2 linked regions of the Lonchura striata genome follow. Each later gene encodes a partner of the first gene's protein in a complex. Links are inferred from orthologs where the notes say so. Each region holds a gene or a part of one and is shown in the gene's direction. Other genes may lie near its edges. The genes, in order: ITPR1 and PRKG1.

The links.
Region 2: ITPR1 (region 1) and PRKG1 share a complex: the UniProt entries of both Homo sapiens proteins name them as parts of the cGMP kinase signaling complex. The link is inferred for Lonchura striata from reciprocal best matches to the Homo sapiens genes ITPR1 and PRKG1.

The regions. Positions count from the first base shown.
Region 1 is NC_134614.1:22,875,907-22,884,095, forward strand, and holds the start of ITPR1 (inositol 1,4,5-trisphosphate-gated calcium channel ITPR1), read left to right. Parts: upstream 1-4,976; 5' UTR 4,977-5,197; coding exon 5,198-5,223; intron 5,224-8,189. UniProt on the Homo sapiens protein: Inositol 1,4,5-trisphosphate-gated calcium channel that, upon inositol 1,4,5-trisphosphate binding, mediates calcium release from the endoplasmic reticulum (ER).
Region 2 is NC_134609.1:37,893,511-37,900,622, forward strand, and holds the start of PRKG1 (cGMP-dependent protein kinase 1), read left to right. Parts: upstream 1-4,080; 5' UTR 4,081-4,152; coding exon 4,153-4,463; intron 4,464-7,112. UniProt on the Homo sapiens protein: Serine/threonine protein kinase that acts as a key mediator of the nitric oxide (NO)/cGMP signaling pathway. GMP binding activates PRKG1, which phosphorylates serines and threonines on many cellular proteins.

The DNA.
Region 1 (8,189 bases):
ATCTTTGCCTGATGAAGATTTAGTGACTGCAAGTCGTGTAGGGAGCAGCGTGTGTGGGAGCTGCTGGTTTTGTTTATTAGTGAGGGTCGGTACCTGTGCATGTGTTTTATTTCTTGAAGTGCATTTAGTTATTTGCCTTTGGGGCTGTTTTGAGCCTGCTGTCCCAGGACTTGCAGCCGTGTTGAGCAGGAGGGTTGGCTGACTCCGAGGCCCATGGTGGAGCTGTTTTCCTTGCAGGGCTCAGCTGTGGCAGTGCGGGATGCCATGTGAGGCCAATATCCCTTCCTTCCCCTCAGTGCTTCCTCTGGAGCCGCTTCATGGGCTACCAGGTGCTGGATTTCTCTTTGGTTCTTTTCTGTACCTTGATTTACACCCATTTCCTCACGCAGCAAGTATCCCATGGTCTGAATGCCTGGTGGTTGTGCTGGTGGAAGCAGTTCCAGCATTGCAGGGTGTCGTGGCTGGAGCAGAGCTTTGGCTGTTCAGTGGGTGGAGAACGCTGCTGGCATCCATCAGGCCAGAAGTTTAGGGGTCACAGGACACTTGGTGAAAAAAATGTGGGACTTGACCACCGTGGGACTCAGCAGCTTGAGCTGGTGTGAAGCTGTAGTGCTCAGTGTGCCTAAACCAAAACAAGGAGTCACTGTGAAAACAAAACCACGGTTCTAGTGTGTTTCAAAACAAGCCGATGCTGAGCTGATTATTTCTAATGTTTTCTTTAAGCCGCCTCTTATTTGTCAATAACAGGGGTTTTTCTTGTTAAAATACCTTATTTCCCCAAGATTAAAATGTTTGCTTAGATGAGGGTTTTTTCCCACCATCTGCTTGTTTTGCAGTGTTGATTAAGCCTTGAAAATAGTTTCCTCTTACCAGGTTTCATAAATTAGGAAGTAAACAAACGGGAGTAAGTTTGCTTTGCCCTTGCAATCATGGGGTGGAGCTTAGCTCGGGGAAATGGTTTTTATGAGATGTGCTAATCCTGAACACCATCGTTGGAGGGTGGAGGAGGCCTTAGTGAAGAGCACAGGAGGGGGAGCATTTGATTTATTTCTTTGATGGTGGTTGGTGGAGCTGCAGGTTTGGATGAATGGAACTGTCCTGGGACTGATGAAGACTGATGAACAGAGTGGAGGGGCTGTAAGGGACACTTGTGATCTCTGGTTGTACATGAGCAGTGTAATTTTGGGAGGAATTCTCACTGAAAGGGCTGTCAGGCATTGGCAGGGGCTGCCCAGGGAGGCTGTGGAATCCCCATCCCTGGAGGTATCCAAGCAGCACTTGGGGACAAGGGGAGGATTGGGCAGTGCTTGGACTCGATGATCCTGGGAGTCTTTTCCAGCCTCAGTTTTGTAACATGATGTTATCCACAGCAGCACCAATCCTCTCATGTTCCCTCAACAATTTTGGTGTAGTGTAGTCTAGAAAATGCACAAATTGAGTTAAAGTGAAGAAATAATTTCAAGTCCTGGCAGCTCACAAGTGAGGATGTTGCAGCCTAAAGGGAGAGTTGAAACCATGCTGTGCTGCTGTGTGGTGTGAGGTCCTGCTCTATTTGTAGTGACTCCTCTGCTGAGGACAGCACTGAATGTCCCTGACAGCGTGGCAAGCACCAGAACAGGGCACCTGCAGGGGTGGCAGGTTTGGGGTGAATTTTGGGCATCCAGCTCCTCCAGTACTGTGTGTGTGCCAGAGAAAAGGGAACAGCCCCAGGAGCTGGTCAAATTGGGGTGGTCCAGAAGTCTGTTCTGGAAGCAGAAGCTCCCTTTGGCTGCTTCTTGTCAGATGAGCTGGTCTCTCCTGGTAAATGCTGAAATGGACAGCATTGAGGTGGAACTTCTTGTTCAGTGCTGTCAAGCGGGATTAAAGCAGATCCCAAATCTCCTGAGCCCTTGTCTGGTACCTGCCCTTGAATTAGAACCATCACAAGAGCAGGTGCTGCTTGTTCTGATGAGCTCTTGGGGCAGCTGTAGCTGCTTTTGGCCACCTGGGCTCGTTTGTGCCCAGGCAGGCAAGAGACCAGTGCCACCTGAGCTGTCCCAGCACTGATGTGGCATCAGCACCAGGGCAGTGCCAGTGCCTGTCCTGGGCACTGCTGGGGCACCTCCAGTCTTGGGAACAGCTCTGGGACCCTCAGTGCAAGAAAAACATTGAGGGGCAGAGATGGGAATGGAGCTGGGGAGGGTCAGGAGCAGCTGGGAAGGGGCTCAGCCTGGAGAAAAGGAGCTCAGGGGGGACCCTGTGGCTCTGCACAGCTCCTGCCAGGAGGGGACAGCCAGGTGGGGATGGGCTCTGCTCCAGGGACAGGGACAGGAGGAGAGGGAATGGCCTCAAGCTGGGCAGGGGAGGCTCAGCTTAAAGATTAGGAAAAATAACTTCACTTGAAAGGGTAATCAGACACTGAAATGGGCTGCCTGGGGAAGCAGTGGGGTTCCCATCCCTGCAGATGTTCAGAGACTGAGCAGATGTGGCTCTGCCTGACATGGTTGGGTGGGCACAGTGCTATCAGTTCAACTCAATACCTGGAAGGTCTTTTCCAGCTTCCATGACCCTGCGATCCTGCCTGGTTTGTTGGCTGTGGTGGTTCCCCAGTGCACAGCAGACTCCTTTGGAATATCTCATGTGTCAACTTGCAAAGTGTACTGGGAGTCTTTGAGACATTATTACCCCATAAATACAAGATCGTTGTAGTTGTAGGATTGTCTTAAAGCCAGGAGGAATCTCAGGCTCCCGTGGGAGGTGGGATGAGGGTAGTGGCTCTGTAGTAGCTGGTAGACGAGCTGCTGGCTCGCCCGTGGGTGAGTGTGAGGGAAGGCGGCCTCAGCAAAGCAGCTTATGGAGACCAAAGGGTTTAGAGGCAGAAAATCATGTACTGCAAGAAGGTTATGTAAATGTAACATCTCTGCCACAATGAGACTGTGCTGTAAATCCTGGTTCCTAAAGATCTGCATAGTGTATGTCCCAAATTAGTTTCTTCTGCTAAGATAGCAACAGAAAGTGAAGGTGCTTGGGTGGCCTGGAGCCTTTTTTTGGTGCTGTTTGTGTGTGAGAATCAAAATCTGGGTGTCAAAAGCTGCCCGGTTTTATCCAGTGGCCTGTGCTGGGTGGGGCCAGGTGCTGCTTTAGAGGCTGGAAGAGCTGTAGAGGGTCCCTGTGCTGCAGGGCTGGATGCTGGCTGTGCCCGTGGCTGTTCCAAGTGTGTGCCCTTCCAGCGAGCTCTCCTGGAGGCTGCTGCAGGAGCCTGGGTGCCAGAACTGCACGAGCTTTGATCTGGTTTGATATTCCTGTCTGATTTCTGCTCCCCACGGACACTACAGAAGGACTACAGCAATTATTGCCTCGTTCTCTGGCTTGGCACGAGCAGGCAGTGGCTGGGGATGGAGGCAGATCCCTCTTTCCAGGGTGCTGCAAGTACTTGTTAGATGGGCAGAGGGCAGCCAGAGGCTCCTTGTGTGATTCTTGCTTGTGCTGTACTTGAGAAAGAATTTCCAGGTCTTCAGGGCACTTGTGCTTTATGGGACCAAATTTGCTGAGAAAAGCCGTGGCTGCTTCATCCCTGGAAGTGTCCAAGGCCAGGCTGGACAGGGCTTGGAGCAATGTGGAGTAGAGGAAGATGTCCCTGCCCATGACAGGGGGTGCAATGAGATGATCTCCATGGTTCCTTCCAACACAAACCATTCTGGGATTGTGTTCTGTGAAAAAGATGAAATAGAAACTACAGGAACTGTAATTCAAGTGAGGAAAGCTGCAACATTCAGCTGTGGATTCCAAACTCAGAGGAGTTTCATTTTCATGCTTGTGGTTTTGGTTCTCAAAACTTGGATCAGAACTTCCTAGCAGCGTTCTATGGAGAATAAAATGTCAGTTGATATTCAAGTTAACCCTGTGGAGAGAAAATGGGTTGGAAATGTGCGTGGAAGTCTGTGGTACTTGGGGATTTGTTGCTTGTGGCAATGTGATTGCATCCTCATGTGCCAGAACTCCAACATGAAGAGTGCTGCAGGAAGCTGAGTGTTCCTAGCTCACTGATGATATTCCCTGGAAGTGTCCAGGGCCACACTGGGCAGGGTTTGGAGTAACCTGGTCTAGTGGAAGGGAGTGGAACAACATGATCTTTCAGGTCCTTTTCAAGCCAAACCAGTCTGTGCTCAAAGGAGGGGGAGTAGCTCTGAGAAATGGAAATTCCAGATGTTTCTGGGTTAAGATATTAGGTAATGCCTCTGCTTCTGGACTAATGTGATGCTGAGCTCTAAGGGAAGAGGCTTGGTTGGTTGAAGCCAGTGTCACAATGGACACAGGCAGTTCATCCTCTGCTCGTCTGGTGCTTGATCTTCTGTGGTCAGAGGATGATAATCTCTGAGCATGCAAATGGAAGACATTTCTGATCATAGGAGGCCAAAAATGGCTGCTGCTCAAAGGCTATACTTTGTTTTTTATTTTATGCGATTGTTTAGTAGCAGTTTTGCGTGAAACTTGTATAAACATTTCTTTTGTCCCTTGGCCCACCTGTCCACCTCTTCAAAAATTCAGAAATCTGCCAAGAAGTTGTGAAGAAGGAAGCTTTGTTTGCAGTCCAGCTCTGTCCCATCTGCCTCCCACTCCAAGGAGAAACACATGGCCACAGATGCAGGCTCAACCTCAGCTGGCTGATGGCGCTTGATCCGAAGGGTTAATTGGGAACTTCTGATTAAAATAATTAAATAACTCTGCAGTCCTTGGCCGCTCCTCTCTTAAGCGTTCAGCAGATTCGGATGCTAATGCTCGTGGGTGGTTCAGTATTTTGAACCTTTGCCTTCTGGAAAATTACAGTTGGGAGGCCAACAGGTACAAGGCAGCCTGGGAACTGGAGCCTTCATCTGTAACGCAGCCTGGCCCATCGGGGCTTTGGAGCTCAAAGTAGGTCCCTTGGCCACCAGTGGCTCTCCACACGTGCTCATCATGTGCTGGCAGTGGCTCCTCCTCTTGGGCTGGTTGTCCCGGGCGCTGAGGTTTTATCCAGAGCCGGGAGCCAGCGGAGGTGTCCGGGAGGGACGCGCGGCGCACGGGAGGGTCCTGCCTCGCCTCGGGGACAGCGCAGCCCTCGGAGCCTGCAGGGGCTGCCCAGCGGGACACCGGCCTTGGCTTCCCTGCCAGAGGGGACCCAGCCCTGCCGGGGGACGCCCTGCCCAGCCCAGCCCTGGAGACCGACAGAGAGCCCGCCATGGAGGAGAGGGAGCCCCCGCCGAGGTGCGCTGCTGCCCGGGGATGGGGATGGGGACAGGGAATGAGCAGCTGCAGGGGATGGAAGCTGCTCCATCGAGGCACAAGTGAGGAAACCGCTGGGTTCAGTGAGTGTTGAGTTTGCTGTGGGGTGCAGGAACCAGCCCCTGCTGCGCTGAGCCCTCAGCAGATAGCTGGCCACACCAAGTGACATTGGGACTGTTCCGTGCCCTCTTCTTCCCTGGCCATCCTTGTTCCTTGGCCAAGCTCCAGCTGGTGTAATAAACCAAGCTTGCTCTCTTTCCCCATGACTTTGGTTGTCCTGGTCCTTGTGGCGTGTTCCAGCTCTCTCCTGATTGAAATATGCTGGAAAACATTGTGTGCTCATCGGGGCCTCGTCCAGAGGCTGACATCCAGGCTGCCTCCTCCCAGCAGGGCTGGAGCCAGCAAGGATGGACTTCAGGAAGTATCAGCTTCAGCAAGTGCTCCTTGCTTTTAACAGGATTAGGAAGATGCTGTCAGGTCATACTTAGTTTGGAACAAAAAAATGTTCTTTTTCCCCTGACAGTGTGTCTCTAATAGAGTTTCTTTTTCCAGCTGTCTGCAGATGCCTGTCAGTAGGACCTGTCAGTCATGTTTCTTACCTCAGTCAGTGGCTGCTGTGTAAGGGATTGCTGTCAGAGTGAAACTTCCATGCTTTTGACTTGAATTTTCTGTATCTAGCTTGTTCGGTTGCACTGGGCAAATAATTAAAAAAAAAAAAAAAGCAAATGCCCTTTCTAAGGAGAAAAGAACATTGTGCACATTTGCTTTCCTGTACTGAGGTTTTATTGAGGTTAAAGTTACCAAAATGAGTTGCTTTATCTGTTTTCTTAACTGCTGTTGCACCTATGAAATAGTCACTTCAGAATAACTCTGTCACTGATGTGATAAAAATCTATTTATCTGTGGAGTGGCAAATAGTATGAATAGAACGTCATTAACTCGGCCCTCATCTTGCTGTGTGAATTTACACTTCTCTCCCTACTTATTTTTAGAGGAAGGGGAAGCGTGTGCTTGATTAGATGTGCAGTGAGTGATCTCCCCCCTGGGAGTGGAGGGGAGTGTGAGCTGCTGGATGGGGATTTGGGAGACCTGGATTCAGATCTGGGCCCCGACTCTGACCTGCTGCGTGTCCTTGAGAAAGTCACAGTGCTCTGCTGCTCCCTCCTTCCCCTTTTCCCCAGCCTCCATCTTGCCTGTTCAGCCTGGAAATTGGAAGAAAAAAAATCTGCATTTTAAGCGTCAGGAGGAAAAATACTTGGTCTGCGAAAGTGCATTTCTCCTCCTTAATCTAACGGTTCATCAGCCACCCATGTGTGGCAGACAGCAGCCTCCTGGACATGAAAGGTTGCAGCTGAAGGGAAAACAAGATCCTGTGGTAGATAAATGCACTGCACTGATAGTTTATTTTTTAAAGGGTAATCTCTGAAATGGAGCCCCATGTGCATAGCTGAACCCTCCCAGCGCTGTCCCTTAGCAGCAGGTGAGAGGATCCTGGTGTTCAGCACATGGCCTGCCCCACACATCCCAAAATCTCTTCATTTTCCTTTCCCTGGCGAGTGCAAAGAGCTCCTTTCAGATTTGCTAAGCAGAGGCTTTGCAGATGACAGAGCTCTGTCCTCAGCCCCAGCACGGTGATTATTCACCGGGTGAGCTTTTAAATAAAGCACTTCCTCCCCTCTTCAGCTGTTCTAATGGGATTCTTAGGAATCTTTCCTGGCGTCCTCGGGGAGGAAACCTTCTTTTTTTTACTGAATGAGAAACATCAGGTTTGGGTTCAGATTTTCAAGGTGGCTGCACCTGTGAAAATACAGAATGCTCTGTGGGTGTTATCCAAAAAAAACCACATAAAGTCTTGATTAGTCTGTAGGGCCAAATTTTCAGCCAAGTAATCTGGTAAAATTTGGATTTACCAGATTATCTAAGCACTGGATTTTCAGGATAATACAGTGTTTGGTTGCATTTTAAAAATGTTAATTTGCTTGGCCCGATTTATCAGTATTAATGACCCAATTCAATTTAATTCAAACACAGACTTACCTGGTCTTGGGGGTTCTCAGATCTGTTAATTTCTGTTAATTTCTGTTAATTTCTGTTAATCTGTTAATTTCTGTTAATTTCTGTTAATTTCTGTTAATTTCTGTTAATTTCTGTTAATTTCTGTTAATTTCTGTATGATTCTGCTTATGCCATTAAGCAGTTCTTTGTGTTTGCTTCTTTGTTGTCTGTCTACCCTTAAACTCTGGTCTTGCTTCTGTCAAAAACTGAAACAGAATTAAACTTTCCCTCTGGAATTTCCTGTCGGCGGTAATGAAGTTGAAACACTTAAGTACAGTTTGAAATTCTATTCTTAAACGACCGAGATAGTGAAAAAGACTTTGATAAAGTGGTGCTCCAGTTTTGATAGCAGTACATATAAAATTGCCAGTGTTTATTGAATTGAGCACTAAACCACAGTGCAAATCTGCCAGCAGAGACCTGAGTGCATCCTGGGACTGCAGGGCACAGCAAGGAGCTTTTTTCTTACTCTAAACAAACATCATTAGAAGCATCTTGGAAAGACACAGTAATTTGTATCCCAGTTGCTGGGAATCGAGCAATCAGCAATAAGACGCATTTGGGCTTGTTTATCTTACAAACAGGATTATGGGGTAAAGAATTAAAATCCCACACGAAGCAGACGTGCGAGACATGCAATCAAGGAAGTAGCTTTGAATTCTTTGAAAAAAGCCTTTTCAGAAATGCTGGGGATGAGGAATGACAGGGCAGGGATGTTGTCACACAGTCCCCACCAGGAGGGACTTCAAACGGGGCCTTGGCTCCGCTCTTCAAGGAGAGCAAACTCCAAGCATTGCTCTTGAAACCTGCTTTTTCTGACTTAGCGTCGGGAGTGAGCTGAGTGATGGGAGAAATGAGCGTGAAATGTTTACAGAGCGGTTCATTTCCCACTC
Region 2 (7,112 bases), on another chromosome or scaffold:
CGTGGTATTTTTCTTTTCCTTCACATGCACTCTACCCCAAATTCATCCTGAGAGGATTTCCTGGAATGGCTGCATGCTCTTCACACTTCTCAATGTTTCTTACTGAGCGTGGAAATGTTTCTTCAATGTTTCTTCCTGATGCCCTAAAGGAAAGTCATCAGGATAATCCAGTTCAGGTGTTTATTTGACTTCCAGCATGTAGGAATCAATGGTGTTTGAATGAAACTGCTCAGAGCTGGATATCTCCATCCCTTTGTGGGGAGGACAAATGGCTTTCACTTTTGGGTTAGAGGCTCTGGAAAGGACCAAAATAGGGAGGAGGAGCATCCAGTGCCACGAGAAAATAGGTCTTGTTTTCCTGGAGAAAAGAAAAGAGGCTGAAGCACTTCTCAGGTATTCAATTCCTGCTCCTTGGTCATGGCAAGGCTGCTTTGACACAGTAATTTCAGCTTCATCCCCATCCCTGGGGGCTGAATTAGTTCCCAGGTGCCCCCTATAAATCTGTATGGCCCTGTGGCCACAGAAGGAGCTGCCAGAGGCGTTTTGGGGCAAAAGGAATGGTCAGATATGCCTGGGAAGAGTTGGGTGTGCCCGTGTTTCAGTAGGTGGCACTCCTTGCTCTGCCTTGGGGACTGCTGTGGATTTTGGGGACGTGGTGGAATAGCAGATGGCATCCCATGAGTGAGATGTGGCGAGTCTCAGGTGTGACCACACCTCGAGGTGCTTTTTGTAAGGGTGCTGCCTCCCTCGAAATATTCCTGTATTCTTGTAGTTCCTTCTCATCATGAAGGTGTTGCTGTGACTGTGCAGATAGGGCAGGAATTTGGTTGTGTGCTAGGGGAGGGCAGAGCCCTGCAGGTCACAGACCTTCCCAAACCTGCACGAAGCAGGATAATCCAGCACAAAATCCAGCCGGTTCAACTTTCTGCCACGGGCTGATCTGCTCCTGCAGATATTTTCGGAAAAGAGCAGAGTGGATTAGGCAGGGAGCAAACACCACATCCAGGAGGAGGAAGATGTTTATCTATATGGGCAGTGGTGCATGTCCAGCCTTTGTGTCCGTGCTGTCCCGGCTGGCTGGAGCAAGGTGACATTTGCCTGTCAGGGATCGAGCCAGCTCGCTGAGCCTTGTCTCAGGGATCCAGGGAGGTGTTTGCAGGATAGGCAGTGTTCAAATACAGTTTCAGCTTGAGAAATGGCAGCTGAGTGGGCGCATTTGGTGGCAGATGATCCCTGAAAAGGTTCAGAAGCAGAAGGTATCAAAAGCCTGGAGCTGTGCAGAGAGGAAATATTGTGAGTGCAGTGGAGAGGAGAAACATCCCTGCTCTGTGATTCCCACCAACCAGCCCTGGCGTGCCATGTTCTGGGGCACATCTCTGCAGATGCTCTTTTTTTTTTTGGCTTCCCACTCAACATCCATGCATGCTCTGGAAGTGGAGGGAGCAGGAAAAGGCTTTGGGAAGTTCATAGCCGAAGATTTCCTTAAGCTGTGAGCAGCTTCACCCAACACCAAGCCAGTTGGTGCATTCCTGCCATTCTTCTCCCTAAAGCTGTTTCTTTCCATTCCCTGGATCAAGCAGACAAAACAGCTGCTCTGTTGAGCCTGTGATCCATTTATTTATTTTATTGGGAGCTTTAAATTGAAAGGAATAGGACCATAGGATTTACTTGTATGGGAGTGGGGTGTGATCCCCGAGATCACACAGCAGGATCTGTGCTGGCCTCGTGGTTTCTGTGCTCTGGTTTCTTTGGGAGAGCAGGAAATAGCCAGGAACAGGCAACTGCCAGCTGCCTTCCCATGGCAGAGCTCTGCTGTTGGCTTCTGAAACCCTTTGGGCTGCTTTGGCCTCATCTTTAAACCAGGGAACACTGGCCTTGGGCTTGACAGCTGCTGGTTATGGTCCCAGATCTAAACCTGGGCCATAAAAATCTCTCTTGAGACTCCCAAGGGCCTGATGAAAATCTTCTTCCTACCTGGAAATGAATACACGTTTTAGATACACTCAGCTAAATTCCTTGACAGCTTTATGTGCCATAATTTCTCATGGTTTTCTGTGGATCCTTTCCATTCTGGGGCACTGTTGTCTCAGTCCTGAGCTGTGCCCCTCTCACTGAAACAAAGTAATGTTATTTTACTGCTTGTCACTGAGAAATTATGCACCAGTTTTCTCCAGGGTCGGGATTCTTTTGAAGCCTGGTGGGCTTCAGCTAACTGTATCACCTCTCCCTCCTGCAGATTTCACTTCTGCAGGGAGGAAACCAATAAAACTTACAGCGTGTTGGCTGAAGGCTGTTAAAATATTTTATTTATCACTGATTCCCAGTTTGTAGGCAGCAGGAATGCATCTGTTTAATGCCTGTTGTCTTTAAAATGGAAATGTTCAGCAGATATCTGGTACTTTTGTTCCCAGTGAGTTATGTGAGATGGAAATAGGGGGAATAGACAGTAAAAAATGCTGTTGTGCCTTAAACCCATGGAAACAACTGGGGGACTTTGCTTTGTGCCTGGCATGAATATATCAAGGGGACTGAAAACTGAAGAGTTTTGCATAACCCAATTTCCACCCCCCCCACCCCCCCTTTTTGCGTGCATTTGAAAAATGCAGGATCAAATGCATGGAAAACCTGCGAGGCTTCATGTCTGTGAGCAGAGGCCAGGCCCTTTCCAGCAACAGTGTGGAGCAGGGAGCAGCTCTAATTCCTCATCCATTCTCTTTTATAAATGTATTTTATAAAAAACAGCTGCAGGTTGAAAGCTGGGGCCAGTGTGTAACGGGGGAGGAAAAAAAAAGGGCAAGACCAAAGGAGCTCAGCCCCATAAGCAGGGGCTGGAAGTCTGGCACTCCCAGCTCATGCCTGGCATGGAAGGTCTAGACATAAACATGTAGGTGCCACCCACCTCCAAAAAACCACATTCAGGGCTGCATCATCCTCCTCCCCAAATCAAACTCCCCAAGAGGGAACAGAAACAGCAGCTGAAAACCTCTGAGCATGAAACTGTGCCGGTGCCCCAGTGCTGCAGAAGCTTTGGTGAGGTTCCTACGCTCTGGGGTTTTTATCACTGGCTCCTCCAGACTGGAACCCCCAAAACCAGCTCACAGCTCCCTGTTTCTTCCCCAGAGAGCCAAGGCTGGAGCTGTGCTCTCGGGGTGAGCATTGCTGGCCCTTCAGCGCCTGGCAAATGGAAGAACCCAGAATCATTTGGCACCGAGGACTTGGCCACTGTGGCTCATTTATTTGATTGTGTTATTTCTGTGCTGCAGCCCCGTGAGCTGTGTGGCAGAGGTAGGGCCACACAGAAAACCTGTGTGCGTGAAGGAAAACCCTGCACTCCGGGGAAGTCTGATCAGTTTGGTACAGCAGAAACTTGGGCTTTCACATGGGTATTTGGGCCAGGCAGAAAATCTCCCAGATTTTAAGTTAAGGGCTTTTTTTTCAGTGCTCTGAAAGCCAGATGCCCTGCCTCCAGGCTTTTCCAGTGCAGACAGACTTGACCGATATTCCCATGAAAATCTGGGTTTTTGGAACCCGGAGCTTGCTGAGGCTTGAGGAGGAGCCATGCCAGACGCTGGCTTGTGCTTCCACTCGGGGAAGACAACAAAACCCGTCTCTTTAAAAGCAAAGTAAAGGGGGGATAAGTTCTTTGAGGAGAACTGGCACCTTGAGCGGAGCAGAGGGAGCAGGACGGGAGGTCCGCGGCTCGGACCTGTGTGCTGGCTTCCAGCAAAAGGCCGGGAGGGCAGGCACCGGGAGCTGCTCCCGGCCGGCCCCCTCCTTCCTCGGCAGCCCGCGGGGCGTGGGCGGCGCGGGGCGCGGCGGGGCCGGCGGGAGGGAGCGGGGCGAGCATGTGCATCCTCCCGCCGCCCCTGCCTCCCTCCCCGCTCGCCGCCGCGGGTGTGTGTGTGTATGTGTGTGTGTGTGTGTGCATCTCGGCTCCCTCGCCAGCCCGGCCTGACGCAGGCGGATCCACATCGCCCCTGACAACACCCCGGCTCCGGAGCGCCGTGCCGGGGGTCCGGCTGCGGCGGCGGCCCCGCGGGGCCGGGCCGAGCCCAGGGGGGCGGCGGGGGCCGGGGTGGCCCGAGCGCAGGGAGGCGGCCCCGGGGGGGAAAGTTGCCGGGAGCGGCGAGGGGCGAGCGCGGCGGCAGGACCATGGGCACTTTGCGGGATTTACAGTACGCGCTGCAGGAGAAGATCGAGGAGCTGCGGCAGCGGGATGCGCTCATCGACGAGCTGGAGCTGGAGTTGGACCAGAAGGACGAACTGATCCAGAAGCTGCAGAACGAGCTGGACAAGTACCGCTCGGTGATCCGGCCCGCCACGCAGCAGGCGCAGCAGCAAAGCGCCGGCACCTTGCAGGGCGAGCAGCGGACCAAGCGCCAGGCGATCTCGGCCGAGCCCACCGCCTTCGACATCCAAGATCTCAGCCACGTCACCCTCCCCTTCTACCCCAAGAGCCCGCAGTAAGCAGGGGGTCACCCCGCCGCTCAGCCTCCCCTCTCCCTCATCCCGCTCCATCCCCGGCCTCGCCGCCGCCCGCCGGGCAGGGAGCGGAGCGCGGCATTCCCGCATCCTCCCCGGGTGGCCCCGCGGGGTGGGAAAGTTGCGAGCGCCGGGTTTGCGAGGGGGGAAGAGCGGCAGGAGTGAGCGCCGAGGTGCCAGCGGAGCGGGGCGCCCGGCTCCGACAGCCCGTCCCGGCTGCGGGGGGACCCGGCCCCCATCCCTGCGGGGGACGGTGCTGCCGGCGGGTTGAACCGGATCGCGTCGTGGGCACGGCGGCTTCGTCGCTGCGGGAGGGAGCGGGAGAAAGCCGGGGCTCGCTGCGGGACCCCGCAGGGAGACATTCCCAGCTGGGAAACTTGGAGGCCGGCGGGATGCGGTGCCCGGCTCTCCGGGAGGGGGCTGGTGTTTTGGGGAGGGGAGTCTGGCAGAAGCAGGAGCTTATTGCAGTGTCCGGGTGTGCGGGGGGCAGGGAAAGTTGCGGGGATCCTCAGGTGCCAGCGCGCCGGGGGATGCGCTGCCCCGGTTTCACACCTGCCGCAGATTAGGGAAATTAGAGCGCCTTAATGGGGAAGCGGAGCCCTCCCTCGCTCCGTGCCTTTCCCTGGCCGGTACGTCTCCGTGCCTTTGGTTCAGCGCTCCTCAAGGGATGAAAAAGGAGGAAGGAAAAGGTGATGAGCGGATGCTCGCCGCGCCGGGCTCCATGTGCGGGGCCGGGGCGCAGCCTCCCCGTCGGTGGGGCTGCCAAACCCTTCCTCCCCTCCGCGGCCGGCGTCTTCCTCGCGGGATGGTAACGGGGAGCGGAGCCGGTAGTGCGGGGCGTGTGGGACGGGGCGGGCGGTGGCGGGGCACGGTGGCGGGGACCGTGCCGGGGCTGGCCCGCTCCCCGCGCAGCCTCAGCCCTTCCCGCCGCCATGGCGGGCCCCGCCGTCTCCAGGCAACTGCCCGCCCTCAGGACGGCCGCCATGGCCGGACCCCGCCGCGCCGGGCCTCGTGTGCCCCTCCTGCCGCTCGCTCCCGCCACATCCCATTCCCACTTTGCCGTGCCCGCCCCCCATTCCCACCGCCACAGATATTTTGCCCTTTTAAGGCGTCCGGCCGCGCCGTTCTGAAGGATGTCAGGGGACGAACGGCGGTGGCGCCCGCAACGCCTCCCCTGCACCCCCAAAACGAGTAAAACACCCCAAAAAGTGAGCTGGCAGCACACGGGGGGCTGCGGTGGCGGAGGCCAGGCGGGCGAGCGGTCTGCGGAAGCCCTGGGGTGCGTGGTGAGCACCCAAGGTGGGATAAGGCATCCCACGGTGTTCATTTCCCCTGGGAACGCAAAGCCCCACACGGGTTGGTTTCCTTGTCGGCGCTCTCGAAGTGCGAATGGAGCTCCCAGAACTCCGGGAAGCGCCACAGGTTTCAGCAGAGCCAGTCCGCAGCCTCTGCCGTCCCCACTGAAATAGGTGGGAAGCCTGGCAAAAGCCTTGGGGGAACGTTTTCCAGCTGGAATTTTCAGCGCTCCTTGTATGCATGCAGTTCTGCGGTCTGGTGTGGGGTGTAATGCCCAACTCCTCCGAGGCGGTGTTTCATATTGATTATCTCTGAAGTCCAAGACTTCTAATATTATTAACAATTTTGATGTCAACTTGTGCTTTCAGGTTGTAATCACTCAGGTGGGACATTCTGGGGGTTCGGAGCAGCCCAGGATAGTGGAAGGTGTCCCTGCCCAAGGCAACAGGCTGGAATGAGAGAGCTCCTAGGGTGCCTTCCAACCCAAACCAGTCTGTGATTACAGGAAAAGATCCTTGCTAATGGTTTCAGGAGTGTACGTGGCTCTGGGAGACGTTGAGCGCTCTGTGTCAGCCCTAAGAGCCTGGTGACCAAGATAAGCTACTGTGGTGGTGAGGTTTAAGGTGGTGGGAACCTGGGAATAACAAAACCTGCACAAAAGGGTTGGGTTTTTTTCCCCCCCTGTTCGTGCTGAACCTCAGTGACTCTTGAGGTAATGGCACCCAACCTTTGGTTTTGTCAAGCCACCAAGAAGTGTTCAAAAGGCCGGTGGATGTGGCACTTGGGGATATTGGTTAGTGGTGGCCTTGGAAGTGCTGGGAGAGTGGTTGGACTTTATGATTTTAGAGGGGTTTTCCAATCAAGGTAATTCTAAAGTAGACTCTGTATTTTTTTTTTTTTCTTTTTTTTTTTTTGTAGTTAGGTGGTGCTGGATTAGCTCTCCTGATCTGGCAGAGGTTGCTGAAGATTGGTAGGATCAATAGCAGCAGAAACTCTCTGGGAACTGAATTATCATGAGAGTCACAGTAGGTACTTGAGGGTCTGTGGTGGTGAAAGCTGTTGTGATGCCACACAGAAGATTCTGTGTTGTAGAGTGGCTGAATTCTGAATGGGTGTAAGAGAGCTTGAGAGGGATTTGGGACAGCACACAGGGAATGGTTTCCCAGTGCCGGAGGGCAGGGATGGATGGGATATTGGGAATTGGGAATTGTTCCCTGGCAGGGTGGGCAGGCCCTGGCACAGGGTGCCCAAAGCAGCTGTGGCTGCCCCTGGATCCCTGACAGTGCCCAAGGCCAGGTTGGACAGGGCTTGGAGCAGCCTGGGACAGTGGAAGG